Drosophila melanogaster: one gene and its partners. The protein of the gene in region 1 interacts with the protein of each later gene in a pairwise test. Each region holds a gene or a part of one and is shown in the gene's direction. Other genes may lie near its edges. The genes, in order: Cpr92A, Sar1 and CG1116.

Evidence for each region.
Region 2: the proteins of Cpr92A (region 1) and Sar1 interact in a two-hybrid assay, tested with the Drosophila melanogaster proteins (one large-scale study listed by BioGRID).
Region 3: the proteins of Cpr92A (region 1) and CG1116 interact in a two-hybrid assay, tested with the Drosophila melanogaster proteins (one large-scale study listed by BioGRID).

Annotation. Positions count from the first base shown.
Region 1 is NT_033777.3:19,596,756-19,600,786, reverse strand, and holds Cpr92A (cuticular protein 92A), read left to right. Parts: upstream 1-1,831; 5' UTR 1,832-1,952; coding exon 1,953-1,961; intron 1,962-2,295; coding exon 2,296-3,024; 3' UTR 3,025-3,285; downstream 3,286-4,031. Other genes in the region: CG7333 (uncharacterized protein), read right to left, coding at 1-113.
Region 2 is NT_033777.3:22,354,936-22,361,211, forward strand, and holds Sar1 (Secretion-associated Ras-related 1), read left to right. Parts: upstream 1-1,749; 5' UTR 1,750-1,863; exon of another isoform or gene 1,864-2,112; intron 2,113-2,581; exon of another isoform or gene 2,582-2,595; 5' UTR 2,596-2,693; coding exon 2,694-2,736; intron 2,737-3,436; coding exon 3,437-3,556; intron 3,557-3,627; coding exon 3,628-3,693; intron 3,694-4,589; coding exon 4,590-4,825; intron 4,826-4,901; coding exon 4,902-5,018; 3' UTR 5,019-5,776; downstream 5,777-6,276. Other genes in the region: rdhB (retinol dehydrogenase B), read left to right, coding at 757-892, 1,014-1,190; JMJD6 (jumonji domain containing 6), read right to left, coding at 6,134-6,276.
Region 3 is NT_033777.3:5,217,615-5,222,329, forward strand, and holds CG1116 (uncharacterized protein), read left to right. Parts: upstream 1-2,042; 5' UTR 2,043-2,092; coding exon 2,093-2,241; exon of another isoform or gene 2,242-2,301; coding exon 2,302-2,519; intron 2,520-2,584; coding exon 2,585-2,856; intron 2,857-2,921; coding exon 2,922-3,071; intron 3,072-3,134; coding exon 3,135-3,677; 3' UTR 3,678-3,934; downstream 3,935-4,715. Other genes in the region: Prosbeta2R2 (proteasome beta2 subunit-related 2), read right to left, coding at 395-1,091, 1,157-1,336, 1,731-1,822; CG2604 (uncharacterized protein), read right to left, coding at 4,225-4,715.

The DNA of each region.
Region 1 (4,031 bases):
TGCGAAAAGTAGTGCAGTGATCCAAGAATATTTGTGTAGCCGTACAGCAAAAGGATCATCACCTGGAACCTGCCATAGTTTCCACACTTATCCAGAACCTGACTGAAATCCATCAGACGTTGCTTCGATGACATAAAAAATTTCCAAAGCGACTGACTACTTCCAACTCCCTTTGAGAACTGACCAGAAGCTAAATTAAACTGCGCTGGGAATAGCCATAAATTTATCTTTAGCGGCTTTAGGCAATATGTTTCATAAAGCTAAAACAGCTGGATGGGTTTTAAAATTACAGATATACCGTCAAATGTTTTGCCAGCTGTGAGCCCTGTAATTGGGAAAATATCTACAGGAGATGTCACATCTATCGCGTAAGTTTTTGTCGAAACAAAATTTTTGCAATTAAAATACCTACATACATACCAATATTGTGCTTAACTAATCCATTATTGACTAGATTTTCCATTCAGCCATATTGGCAACTTTGTAGCATTAGCCTGCCATTCTTGTTGATCAATTGCTTTGATCTTCTGGCTAAAAATAGTTAAAACAGCTGACATCGACTGGCCCGGCGGTTGGCACGACTTTGATTCTTTGTTATAGTTAGTTGTCGCATAAACAGGCCCGATGGTAACAGCAAGGGTAAGACAATGCATGCAGATGTCAATAGTTTTCCAGATGCCAGATACAAATTTGCAGCCATAAATTAAGCTCACAAAACGGTAAACATGAGAATTGTCGCAGACACTTGGTCGTTAGAGGCTGGAAAGGGTATTTTTGGCTAATCAGGCACTCTTAGGAACTAGCTGCAAACTTTTTTGGTCCTTCCAGAAATTATCTCAAGTTTATCATTGATTATAAACTATGTAACTGATCAGTATTCCTATTACAATGTGTCCTATCATAGTCAGCTTTTAGCATCTCCGCTACGTAGCAACCATTTAAGGGGAAGATCAAACAGAAAACCAGTCTTCAGCTGAAGGATCAGTCATGAGTAACCTTATATAGTCGTCATGCCACTTTTTGAAGGGTATTATTAATGACATTATTTGCCTAGACTGCAAGTGGTTGTTTGGCCTGGTCTGTGGGCCAGACTAATGTGCCGACAGCAGCGCGTTGACCTTTTGCTTTATTAGGCTGTTGTGGCGAGCCAGTCGCCCCTGTTTCCGCCCCCCTTCTTCGGTGAGCCTCTGGCTTTTGGGCCCACTCCAGGCACTCTTAATTCAATTGTGGACCACCTGACCTTTTGCGCATGCGCTGCAACTGCCATTTCATATGGAACCTCAACATCGCCCGGTGCAGCTTGTTCTTCTTAGCTAATTACGCGGCAGCCAAATGCAGCATATCCTAACATCCAGCCAATGTTAATGTAACATTTCAATTGTGTGCGGCAAAATAAATTTTCACATAATTGCCAAAAGTCGGTGTCCAAGCGGGTATTGAAAAGCGAATCGAAAACGAATCGTAAACGTCGCAAAAGTGAAAGGGCAAAGCTCGGGTTGGATTGGCTCCGGGGTCTGGGGACCCTTTAAATGGTTTAGCGGAAGAATAACCTTTCTAAGTCGACACGATAACTGCGCCAAAGTTGAAGCCAGGCACACGATTTGCCGCCAGGTGGGCAAGAGTCAATCCCCGCCCCCGTGGCTCCGCAGTACTGGTCCGCGCCATGTGCTTGATCGCTGGCCCAAGACACCGAAGACTCCGTCTGGCCGGGTCTCTCTTGATCTGAAATTAGTTTATTGCCTCGACTGCGCCATGTGAAGCAGGCGACATTTGCCGCCGTTTGCCAGTATAAATGGCCAGAACTTCCAGCGAACGCTTGCAGTTTTGGTTACTTCTTCTAGCGCGATCGTCGTCGAAACCAACAATACTCCGGCCACTCTCTACGTGTGGTGTCTGCTGAGTCTGTGACAACTGTGAGCGAGTGGAAAGGATACCCCTGCAAGGACATCGTTATGCTGAAGGTGTGAAAACAAAGGATACCAAAGTGCTCTTATAGTCTGGACAATCAAGTTTAAGCCGATTTAACATATTCTCAAGGGGAATGCCAAGATGAATTAACCAAGTGTTCCTATTACTAAAAGCTTATATTTTATTCATACAAAGAAAATTAGTGCATAAAGAAGATAGTTTAAGTCCTAATGAAACCCGTCGAATGATCCGAGTTAATATGTGATTTGATTTAAATTAAATTTAATTGCCAAGAATTATTCTAAACAATTCTTCCCTGTCCTCATATTACTTAAAGCTTATTTCAATTTAATCGCTTTCAACATTTTCTTTTAATTTTTTTTTCAGATTTCCCTGCTGAGCGCCATGCTCGGCATCGCCTATGCGGGCGTGATTGGACCCGGACCATACTATGGCGGTCCAGCTGGTCCCGGACCTCTGCACCACTATGGAGGATATGCACCGCAGCATGGGCCCCTGCCAGGTCCCTATGTGGCGCCCAAGCCGGCTGCTCCCGAACCCTACGATCCCGACCCGAAGTACTCCTTTGGCTACGACATCCAGGATGGTTATACTGGTGACCTGAAGTCACAGCACGAGACGCGCCACGGAGATGTGGTGAAGGGCAGCTACTCGGTTGTGGATCCGGATGGAACCAAACGCACCGTTGACTACACAGCGGATCCCCATCACGGATTCAATGCGGTGGTCCGCAAGGAGCCGCTGGCCTACAAGGCACCAGCCCACCTGGCACCCGTCGTCGCACCTGCACCCGCTCCAGTACCAGCTCATTACGGCCCAGCTCCGGCGCCTCCACTTCCGCCGGTGCCCAAGGCTCCTCTGCTTTCGTATCCTCTTGCCTTAGGACCTTACCACCGTGGTGCTCCCGCTCCTGCACCAGGTCCCGCTCCCGCTCCTGCTCCAGCTCCGGTGTCTGTGCCAGTGGCTACTCCAGTCCTGCCCTCCGCCCACTTCCATGCCGCCTATCCCGCCCTGGCGCACAGCCCCTATGCCCACTATCCGGCTCCAGGTCCGGCCCCCGCTCCAGTGGAACCCCATGCCTACTACCATCACTGAGGGACCAAGGTTCTCAACTATCTGATCTGATTTGATTCGACTTCATCTATCGCACGCAGCTTACACTGACCCAAAACTGAAACTCCGGCTATATCTGTGCCAAACGCTGTACTCTCAATCTCTTACTCTGTGTTCTTCGAGGGATTTGATACCGATCCAACATGTAGATTGATTCTAAGTTACCCCTAGCCTATGTACACGTCTTTAAGAAAATGTTGTTGAATGGTTAGTCTAGGAAATAAAACGAGAATTGAAAAACCTAACAAATTTGTTTGCGGTCTTCCCTAGAAACTATTAGATTGAAGTTCCGAAGCCAAGAAGAAAATAGTCCCACAAAAAGTTTTTAAATAATTTAAAAAACAACGTTTTAACGCAATTGATGAGTGTTTTATTTATTGTATCAACTTTTCGCAATGGTTCATATATGTATATGTTATATGATATCGTATGTGGCATATCTCATATGTATAATTTCTGATTATGTATAAATATGTATATGTGTGTTGTATATAAACGTTTCGAGTATGTCACCGTATGTTATAAATAAGTTTATTACAATGCATAATGTGTTATTATTTATGTATTATGTTTTATGTTTAATAGGTTCTATGAGCTACCATTCGTAGAACATACTGAAATGTTTTCGATATCGATATAAATTTATGTACTCCTCAGCCGACTTCAAAAGTTCATCAGTGTGCAGAGTGCGTTTTGGTCTCGCTGCACTCGATTAGGTATACAATTTAAATACGATTATAGTCCTTAGTTTTGTAATAAACGGTATCAAAAGATAGGTACAATTGAGTCATGCCTGCTACCACTAAATTAATTTCGAAGCTTCTATTCCAACAAAAACGATTAGTTGCCAAGCTCGGGGCTTTGTGTCTATCATTATCCGTCTGATTGATTTGATGTGTACGATTATTTAAACTAAGGGTCTTTAGGCTGATATACCATACAAAAGTGCTGTGCTCTAGAGGCCTTTACAGTTGGACACAATTTAGCTA
Region 2 (6,276 bases), 2.8 Mb from region 1:
GCGTTGCTAATGAGCATGTGACGTTTCGGGGGGCCTGTGTCTGTGTGTGTGTCAAGGGGCTTGACAGGTGGGCAGTGGAAGTTGGGCGGTCGTCCATATGCATTTCGCTTAATGTCAGTGCAATAATATTAAGACTTAATTAATTAAAAACTGCAAGGGTATGCCGGCCGCCCAGCATCTGCAGCAACGTTGGCAATTGTTTGCATTTAATGCCCCCGGCTCAGAGCCGTAAGTACCACCCCGTGCTCTTCCAAATGCACTCGAAAAAAAGGATACTCGAATGAATGCCTTCATAAAAATATCAGTTTAATTAAATTAAATATCTTGTAGCAAATATAAAAACTAGTTGTAACTTATAATTCCCTTATTTTTCCAAAAATTTCGCATTCAATCAAAATATTATAGCACAAGTTTTTAAGTCTTTTCTTGCTTTTTCGTCAGGTGTGGGGGTAAAATTAAAAGAAGTTTACGCAATGTTTGCATAAAATGCACGCAAAAATGTCCCGTCAGCTGCTGACCATCATTTTCCGTAGGTGTTCGACGGCGACTTGTTTTTTGTTGCCGTTTTAAGTGCTTGAAATCCGTTGTGTTGACTTTATTTACCCACGCACACCCGCCGTTTGTGACCCCGCTTTGTCTTTATTTTCCATCCCCGACGCACCGCCATACCTTGGCATGTGGACGATGCTCATGCTACTCCTCCGCCTCCTCCTTCGCTCTGCTCTGGACATGTGTATGGACAACATTTGACAACAGCGTGCTTGGCCATCGGATTCCGGAAGTGCCGGTGCCCTTATTCAGCGTTTATCCGGCCACGAAGCATGCAATTACGGCCCTCTGCCAAACGGTGCGCCAGGAAATACATTTTCTCAAATTAAATATTAAATTAACGGTAAGTTAAATGCAGTGCATACATGGCGCGCCTCATCCTCCATCTTAATCCTCGGGAAATGCGGCAAACATGACGCGTCTGCTCATTGGTTACCCTCTCCATTTTTATCCCTCCATTGCAGAGCATTTGCCCGGGCATGGTAGACACGGATTTCCTTAGTGTTTACTCGCAGGCGGTAGCCGAGCTGCCCAAACTGCAGGCAAGGGATGTGGCCAAGGCCGTGTTGTATGCGCTGAACACTCCCGATGGCGTCCAGGTGGAGGACATCATCCTGCAGCAGATGCGGAAGGTCGATTGAATTTTAGTTTGAATTTCAAGAGAATTACATTTTACCCAAAACGATATTATTTGTACATTTTGTATATGTTCTTCTATGTAATAAGAGAACAAATGTACATATTTTTAAATATAAAAAATTACATTATTGCATTTCAAGCAACTGTTTCGACACTTTATATTCTTTAAGATGTTATCTGTAGATAACATCTGTATTAACATCTTATTACAAATAACATAAAAATGCAATAAAACGATAATTAAACATTTATAATATTTTGCATATTCTCTAATCGATATAACATTAAATGCGTGTAAATAGTTTGGCAACATTATGAATGCATTTATACATTCATTCATTTGAATTGGAATTGCCCGCGCATGTAGTGGAGTTGCCACCTTGCGGTAGGGCTGCCAGATTGAGTCAAAAGACCAGGGCTGTACAGCTATCGCTAGCGAGTACAACAACCACTCTTGATTTGGCTCGCTTCGCTCTAGCAGAGTTATCCACCAAAACATCGATTACTCGTGCTACCCCCAAAATCGATGGTACGAAACAAACATCGATATTTCACAGCTTTCGCTTATTGGTCACACTGGGGCTTATGATTAAAAAAAACTGAACTGACTCCAATAAAAACGTGAGGTAGAAAAAGCGAATTAGGTTGACAATTAATACACACAGCAGACGCACGGTAACCAGCCGCCAATACCGATACGAACGCGCGGCGGCAACAGCAAGTGCGCAAGTAAAAGTCCATATCAAACGCAAGCTACCCGCAGCCGCGGGCAGTTAAATTCCGAAATGCGTCCACGTAGTGCAAAATCCGAATCTCAATTCGAATTCGAATCGGAAGTCCGGATGTCTGCGCCCTTTTTATGCTTTTTTCGAGGGTGCGGCTTAGATCGGCGTGCACCTGCCGTCCAAAGTGTGATTACGAAATGTGCTCCAACGTGAAATGATATTATAAAGTATAATATAATGCATGTTACCACGTAGTTGCACACAGACAGGCAGCACACGCACACACACGCGCACACCCAGTGCCACTCACACACACACACAGACAGTGAGCGAGCGAGAGGGCAGGAGGCAGAGAAAGAATGAAATAAAGAAAGTGCTGCCCAGTTGACAAAGAACAGGTTTTAACCTAATTAACTAAATAATGGGCCCAAGTGAATGTTTCGCCGCCAGGAGGAATTTGCTTCCTTATATCCGCAAGGTCCCCGCCGCTCGAGTGTGCGTGTTGTTGTATGTGTGTCAAGGTTCCGGAAGTTGAGCCGCCGTAAAATTGATTTCCTATACACCAAGCCGCTGTTGCTGCCGCTGCTGTTGTTCTTATTGTGTTTCTGTGGCTGGACATTGAACTTGAGTCGAAATGCGCACTAACCCATTATCCATGCCATATCTCTTTTCGATCCGGCAGCCGTCTAGCCCAGCAGCTCTCTTCCCCCCACAATAAACACACACAAGCTGCTCTTGGAGCCAATCACCCGCAACCGATAGCCACACGAAACCATCAGGATGTTCATCTGGGACTGGTTCACCGGAGTGCTGGGATACCTGGGTAAGCAACGTCGCCATTGCCGACCTTGTGCCTTGGGGCGGCGTTTCTTGAACGAGTGCCAACAAGGCAGCCGCACAAAAGAAACCCAAATTCGACGGCTGTACAGCGGAGGTCGTGGTGATAGCTCTAAACGTGCGATTATCTCGAAATCTAGAGGTTAAACTGTGTCTATAAGGTGTCGAAAGCTTATAACTTTCCATTAGGTCTCTCTATCACAACAAATGCGCGTTGAATATGCATTACTCTAGGGTGCATATACAATATACACTTCTGTAAAAGGTATTTTGATTGCATAGCCATGTACTCTTCAGCCACAATTATTTAAGCAGACATTTTTGATAGGGTTTTCCTCGCTTCCAGATGGCTGCTACACTTTTATTTGCTTTGTAATGCTAAAAGTTAAAATTATTCCATACGAAAAGTACTGTTCTACAGTGCAGGCCAAACTGATAGCAGTTGTTATAAGCGCATTTTTGTTATAGCTTGATCTTTAATCAGGTTAATGATAGCCGAACATTTTGGGTAGCAAAGGTAATAATTAGCCCGAAGTCCAAGAGCTATTGTCTCGACCTCAAATGTATATTCGGCTGTCTGTGGCTGGGCAAACACAAGTGAGCCGCCACTAGTGTTAGTTTAGCTGCGTATATTAATTGATGACGCGTAAGTCAAAAGGCTATTCAACACACTTTCTCGTTTTCAGGTCTGTGGAAAAAGTCTGGCAAATTATTGTTCCTGGGCCTGGATAATGCTGGCAAAACCACACTCTTGCATATGCTCAAAGATGATAAGCTGGCGCAGCATGTGCCCACACTGCATCCAAGTGAGTTTCCTTCATGGACTAAATAGTGGTTATGTGTGTGACTTTAATTAACTAATATGATTGACTTGCAGCATCCGAGGAGCTGTCCATCGGCAACATGCGCTTCACTACATTCGACTTGGGTGGCCACACTCAGGGTAAGTGCCTAATCTTGACCAGAGCTCAGGGGAATGTGAATGTGCATCCAAATCGTTGCTATTTTCCGTACGTGCCCACGACTAAATATAGACCAGTATGCAAATATCGCAGGGCTAAGCAAGCGCAGCCGCCAGATCCACGACAATCAGCATGAAATATAGCGCATCAGGTCACCCATACAGCCAGTGCGTCTTACACTCGTAGCATTTGTTGCGATCAATCAGCGCCACACACTCGAAGCAATGCCACCACAGTGGTCACAAGCAGCTCATCCAGAGATCTCAATTATCATCTTATCTCAACTGTGATTATGAAGACCTCAGAATACTAGAATATTTAACCCATTGCATACAATCAATATGTTCATTTATGTTTAGAAAGCAATTAGTGTCTTGTTGATTTTCGCAAATACTATCTTCCTTACCACTGTGCACATATAGGCGACGTATTTATTATTAATATTATGAAGGCAAACATTCTCTATGTAGATAACAAACAGAAACGAAAAACTCGCATACATGCAGTTGATATATGTATATAAATATGAACATTATGAAAAGTGATCAAACATCGTGAAATCCAGTTGTTTTGATAACGAAGCTCTAGCACTCATTTTAAGGCAGCTCGTCATCGTGACGATCGTTTTCGCTTCGGAACTACTAGGTACACTAAAGTAGAAAGGTTCTTAGCGGCGGAAAGATATCAGATTTGTGCCTGATATCAGTGACTTGCGCTTTGTTATTCTAGCGATGTTATATAAATTACAGATTGTTGGTCAACAGCAGCGACTACTAAGGTGCCCTTGCAAATCTTGATTCAAAAATCGGAAGACTAACCCATCTAAAGACTAACTGCTGCTTTTGTATTTATGAGACATATCTACTTATTTCTGCAGCACGACGCGTCTGGAAGGACTACTTCCCTGCTGTGGACGCCATCGTTTTCTTAATAGACGCCTGGGACCGTGGCCGCTTCCAGGAGAGCAAAAACGAGCTGGATTCGCTGCTCACGGATGAGGCGCTGTCCAACTGCCCCGTGCTCATATTGGGCAACAAAATCGATAAGCCCGGCGCGGCTAGCGAGGATGAGCTGAGAAACGTGTTCGGACTGTATCAGCTAACAACCGGCAAGGTGAGCACCAAAACCACCTCCCTCCCTCCCTCCCTCCTTACTCCTGCTACATAATTGATATCCATTTGACTTGCAGGGCAAAGTTGCACGCGCCGATTTGCCCGGCCGTCCTCTGGAATTGTTCATGTGCTCCGTGCTGAAGCGACAGGGCTACGGCGAGGGTTTCCGTTGGCTGGCGCAGTATATCGATTAAGTCAGCATTAGCAACCACCACCAGCACCATATTTTCAAGAACACCACTCAACACTCAAAACCGAAAACTTGGCTACAAAATTTCCAAAAATGATTAGAGACCGCAGAAAGAACAGAACCCAAGGGATGTGAACCCAGCCCAATTCAAACCGTCAGACCTTAAGCAAAACGAAGCTGCGTGCGCAATTTCTAATTTATACAAAACAATTACAAATATTTCATAATAATAAAAAAAAAAAAACAGAAAACCATACAATGTACATCTGTAACACACAAGAAATCGCGGGAAAAACAGAACACAACATCAAAGTGAAGACAACTTTTCTATCTGGAACATCGGGATACATTGTAAGGAGCTGAAGGATGCGCGGAGTGCGCAAGGGAAACTTTTAATAATAATTATGAGTAACAAATTATAGCAAATTAAAGGTGATTTATTTAAGAGCATGTGCTTTCAACGAACGCTGTTTCGCCAATAAAATGTAGCCACCTACCTTTATTTCAAGTTTATGAATTGTAAATGTCGCTATTGATTTCCTAAATAGTTTACTTTGGCCGCAAAACATTATGTACATCCCTATAAGGATTCGACCTCCGATAAATGGTACACCTTAGTTTAGCTAAAAATTTTAAGTTGCATGTCATCGATGTACTTTGTTTCTTTTATACAATACGAAAGGGAAAGCAATTTATATAAAAAAGCATTTTTGTTTGCAGACAGAATTCTAAATAAAACGGAGAAAAGTAATTTTGTAAAATACATAAATTGGTGACTATTGTTGTTTTGCATTGGATTTATGTGCCGAGCTTGAATGAAACCCAGCGATGTACAAACATATTGGATTCATTTATTTATTTGCATTTAGGGTTTACGCTAATGAGTCACGTCCGGAGCATCTATTGAAATCAGGGAGCAGGCATTCGATGAGGGCGAGCACGGGATCCAGGAGCTGCAAACATGCTGGTCCAAGTAGAAAAATACACAAAACTCTGCAGAGTATGATCGCGACCTCAGTGCTAACTGAGCCGGCAGCGGCGGGGCAGTCCTCTCAGCAGCATCAGTTGGCGTTGAAAGAGGCGCATGAGCAAGCCCTTGCGCTTGGCCCGCTCCCTGGATCAGGAACGCGATGATCCGCCCATGGAGCCGGACCCGGAGCCGCCGCCAGCCATGCGCCGCTTCTTTTTCTTCTTGGCCGTCAGACTCTCCTGGCCGCTGTCCGTGTTGGAATCGCCGCCATCGTCGCTCTCCTCCTCCTCCG
Region 3 (4,715 bases), about 14 Mb from region 1:
TTTGTCCATTCTCTTACGTATTTTTTACTTTATTTAAAAATTTTAATTTTTTATGTCATAGCAGATAGATCCTTTTTGACGGGAAAACAGTTTTAGGGCTTGTTTCGCGGCCTTTAATCTTCTGAAAACCTTTTTTGATAATTTGGTTTATTTGGATTTTAAATAATTTGGTTTAATTTGATTTAATCCATCTACGTACAAATATCCGGGTAACAGAGCTCTTTTCCTCCTGGTGGAAGGTCGTGCTCGAAACAAAAAATGTGTAATTTGCACAAGATAACGCAACAAGCTTCAATTTCCAGATGGAAAGTTTGAAATCACGGTAACTCACTAAACGCTTACGACCAATCAAGAAATTTGTGGTAAGGATATTGAGGATCACCCAAGCCGGGTCCTATCTCCCTCCGCGTTTCTTTCTTTTGGCCTCCGGCTCGTCCAGACTGTTGGATCTGCGCGGGGCCTCCTGCCCTCTGGCGGCACCACTAGTGCCTGGTCCTCGCCCTGGCTCCTGGCTACCTCCTGGCTCGGGCAGAGCTAGGGCGCCCCGCCACGAAAGCACCGGATGCACCAAGGTGGATAGAATGGTGGTTCGGCCGGGCTTGGGTGACAGGCGATAGGTGCGAGTTGGTGGGACCTGGCGGGGGAGCTGCTCGGGCCATTGCACCGAGAAGTCGCAGCGCACGACGCAGAGGCTGACCTTGCCTCCGGAGCACAGGTCGTTCTTCATGCCCGCGGCCACGGCGTCGCAAGCCAGGGCGCAGGCGGACTCCTCGGAGAGGTCCTCCGACCACCGTGACTCCAGGATGGACATGGATACCTGGTAGCCGGAGCCGATGGACGTGAAGGGCGCCGTGTCCGTGGAGCCGTCGCTGCGAGTGCAGAAGAGATGCGCTCCGGTGTTATCCGCGCCGCCTATGATCATGTCGGCATCTATATTCCCGTTGAAACGGAACAGCAGCTGCCGTATCATCTGGTTGGCACAGCACACCGGCACTTTGCGGAACCCAGTGTTCATCCGGTGAAGCTCCAGCTGCGCCCGCGTCAGTTCCACCAGGGCTTTCGTGTCCCGAGCGGTTCCAGCTCCCGCGGCACTGTGTGGTTTCAAGGTACCATTATATTATGTCTATGGCGTACTCATAGATAGCTAGATGCTCACAAAATGTTGGCCTGCAGCTCAATAATTTTGCGGCACGTCTTTGAGAAAACTATGCCGCCGCTGGTAGCCCTGGACTCGGCGCCTATGATTACTCCGCCGTCGAACACGATGCCCACCACAGTGGTGCCAGTAGTAAAGCTATTCGGCTCCTCAAGGCCATTCTCTTTTAGTTGTTTGTTGCTGCGGACGAGAATTGAACACATAAGCAAAAGTCGCCACAGCGAAGTGGCTGCACTACAAGATACCCCGTGTCAGCAACTCTTTATTAAATATTGCGATTCAAACATTGGCAAACCTAAATGCCATCTCTTTCAACCAAATGGGAATTCGGTGAATCTTAGGGGAGCCAAAATGCTTATCTCGTGTATCAATGGGCAATGAATTGATTCATTTTTCAAAAGAGCGGGCTTACCCAATTTTTTTCAACAAAGTTGTGCCACTAGAACTATTAACCAACTAATTATTAACAAACGAAATGTTTTCCTTTGTCATTCGTTGAATAAGGTTGGTTTGTAAAAGGTTGGGTGTTGAATATGGCTTGCTGGCCATTAGGTGTAACTGTGTTCCAACTCACCGCAGACAATTGTCGAATGTAAATCCGCTGGGACCGCACAGAAAAGGCGATCGGTCTGGGTATTTCATCAAGGTTGGTAAGCCGTTGAACATAATGCGTGGATTTTATAAAATATAGCTGAATACTGGTTGTTCTCGTGCGCGACAGCAATGACAATGTTTCGAGCTTATACCCAAGGCCTACCTGGGATTCTGCTAGAGTAAAAAGAAAATTTAAATTCAGTAACACGACTTATCAGAGGTGGGACATTTAAAAAGTGGTTGGCGTACGCGCACGGCTGCTATCGCTATCGGCGGGCCTATCGAACAATTCCTGCAGACGGTCACTCTACGGGAGTCGCGACCAAATAAAAAAGTAAATAAATGATTGAAATTAAGGCGAAACTGCTGCGTGCGGACTCGGCCATCTACGCCACGGGCGAGAGAGTCCAGTGCCTGATCGAGTTCACCCACAAGGTGTTCTCCGACGAGCCAGCCGCGTCGCAGGCTGTCCACAATGCCAACGAAGCAAGGTGAGCCGAGCTGTTGTTAACTGTTTTTCTTCCCTTGATTCACCATGCAAAACCGACCAGAAGCCAGGAGAACCTGGCCTGGGCCTCGGCGCAGCTGCACTGCTACCGGAAAACTAGCTACTCTACATCCGCGGGCGACCGAGCCGCGGAGCTCACGGAGATGATCGGCAGGACGGCTTTGGATGCGGTGACGCAGGCGCCGGGAGAGGTGATTGTGGCCACCAAGCCCAAGATCCTCTTCTGCGACCTGCGCCTCCAGCCTGGAGAGACCAAGATGTGTGAGTGATGAGCTTGCCCTACTTCTTAGCTTTTTGGTTTTACTAACGAGCAAGTCGCCTTGCAGACTTTTTCAATGAATTCATTCCCCGCGATGGCCCACCCACGTACAGAGGCCACAACATCCGGTACTTCTACAAGATCACCATTGCTACGCAACGGGTCAAGTCCAAGGTGCAAACGCTGGCCGTTCCCATCCGGGTGTTGCCAATTCCCATAATTTCGCGGCCCGACGAACTTCCCGTAACCGTAGAGACCAACGAAGAGCTGGCGCCCACTAATCCGTTCCTGGAAAAGCGCGAGATCAGCGAGCTTGAGATATCGTGGCACCACCTTAAGGCAAGGAAATCTAGATCCCATAAGCAGCTGTACCTTGTCAATGTCCTCTGCTCTGTGTCTTTCAGAACGTAACCGCTCGGCGGGCGCCGAAGTTCTACCGCATCTCGAACAAACGCGGCTTCGTTGGCCGCTTTTGTTTGTTCAAGCCAGCGTATAAGCTCGGTGAGGACATTGTGGGCAGCCTGGACTTTGATCCCGGCGTTAACCCCCGAAAGGTTGGTGATTTTTTTTGTCATTACTCATAATGCGCTTTCTAAAATCCTACTGCATCTTACCAGGTGCGCTGCGTCCAGTTTTCGGTAAAGCTGCAGCAGCAGGAGCTTTCCATCCGACCGCAACCAGTGCAAAATCACCAGCTGCAGTCGCAATCCTCGACGGGCGATGATGTCTCCTCGATGAACTCCTTTGATATGGCCAGCATAGCTAGCGGAGTGTTGGCAGATAACCTCCACAAGTCGGCCACATCGGCTAGCTCAAAGGTTAAGGAGGCGCCTGAGCCAACCGGGAAACTTTCGACCATTTCCACCTCCCACCAAGTGTGCTACGCAACGCTGCAGACCCAGGTCGTGGTACCCATTCCGCTGCACGTAACACCCACATTCCGCACAGACCTCGTCGACGTGCGATGGCGATTGCATTTCGAGTTTGTGACCACAACTTTGATTGACTTTGGCATTCCGAATCCGGAGTCCGGCGAGCTAAAAGCACCGTCTGAAATGCCCGTGGAGACGATGGTATGGAATCTGCCCGTGACCGTCTACGCTGCGAATCCTCTCCAGATTTATGCTCCAAACCAGACATTCAACCTGCTTATAAAGTAATAGCACTTCAGTTAACTGTGTTCTCTTGATGGAAGTAAGTAGTAAGAAGTATTGTATTAATATATTGGAGAACTAATCCAAAGGGTTTCTCACTTTTAAGGCTATATAAGGCCGTTTAGAAAGAGCAAACGAAAGCAACAAGTCGATTACGGTTCCTTTTAAAAACTTCTGAAACCCAATCCCCTCTTACGTCTTTGTAAAATACAAAAATCTTAATTAAAATTTAGTCGAATATACGAATCAAACCGCTTGAAATCAGAAAGTCATGTTCATAGCGACTTGCACCTGGCGATGTTAGCCAAGATAATATTTACATTTTAAGGTAGGAAAATCTGTTTTTCGCATCTTAATTTATTCTGAGGTGCAAAATTCACTGAATTAGATCTAACCCGTTTCGCCTGGACTTTGAAATCGGCAACAACAGCAGCGGATGTGGGGGTTAGTTTAATAAGTGCTTATATAATTACAGTTCAAACCGCGAGTAACAAACAGCCAAGTAAGGTGATTAAAAGAGAGCCGCTGGGAGGGAGAAGTGCGATTCTGGACATTACTTGTTGGCCAGAATCTCAAACTTGATGCCGTGGTCGTGCTTCTCCAACTCGCTAATTAGTCCGGTCTTAGAGAAGGCGGCAGCTGGAGGCAGCACTCCGCCTGTGCTGGGCATCTTGTCCGACTCACGAAGAATGGTCAGTGCCGCTGAGAGCACAGCCACGCAGGTGGCTCCATATCCGGGATTCATGCCCGATACGCGGACCATCAGCGTCTTGGTCGGGGACTCCGTGTATTGGTTTGAACTCTCGGCCAGGCGATCGCTCTTAAGCCAGCCACTGGCCTTAAAAGTCATCTTGAAATAGGTGCGCTCCATTGACTCCTCACTTGGGCCGGAACGAGAGGCCAATCCGCCGGAGAAGAGACCGGGGTAATTGAGCAGCAGCGTACGTCCCAGCTTGAACTTTGACAGCAGACCGAAGATGGTGGCAAAAAAGATGACACCGCCGGCGACCAGCCAAGACGAAAATCCCACGTAGGCCTGCATCT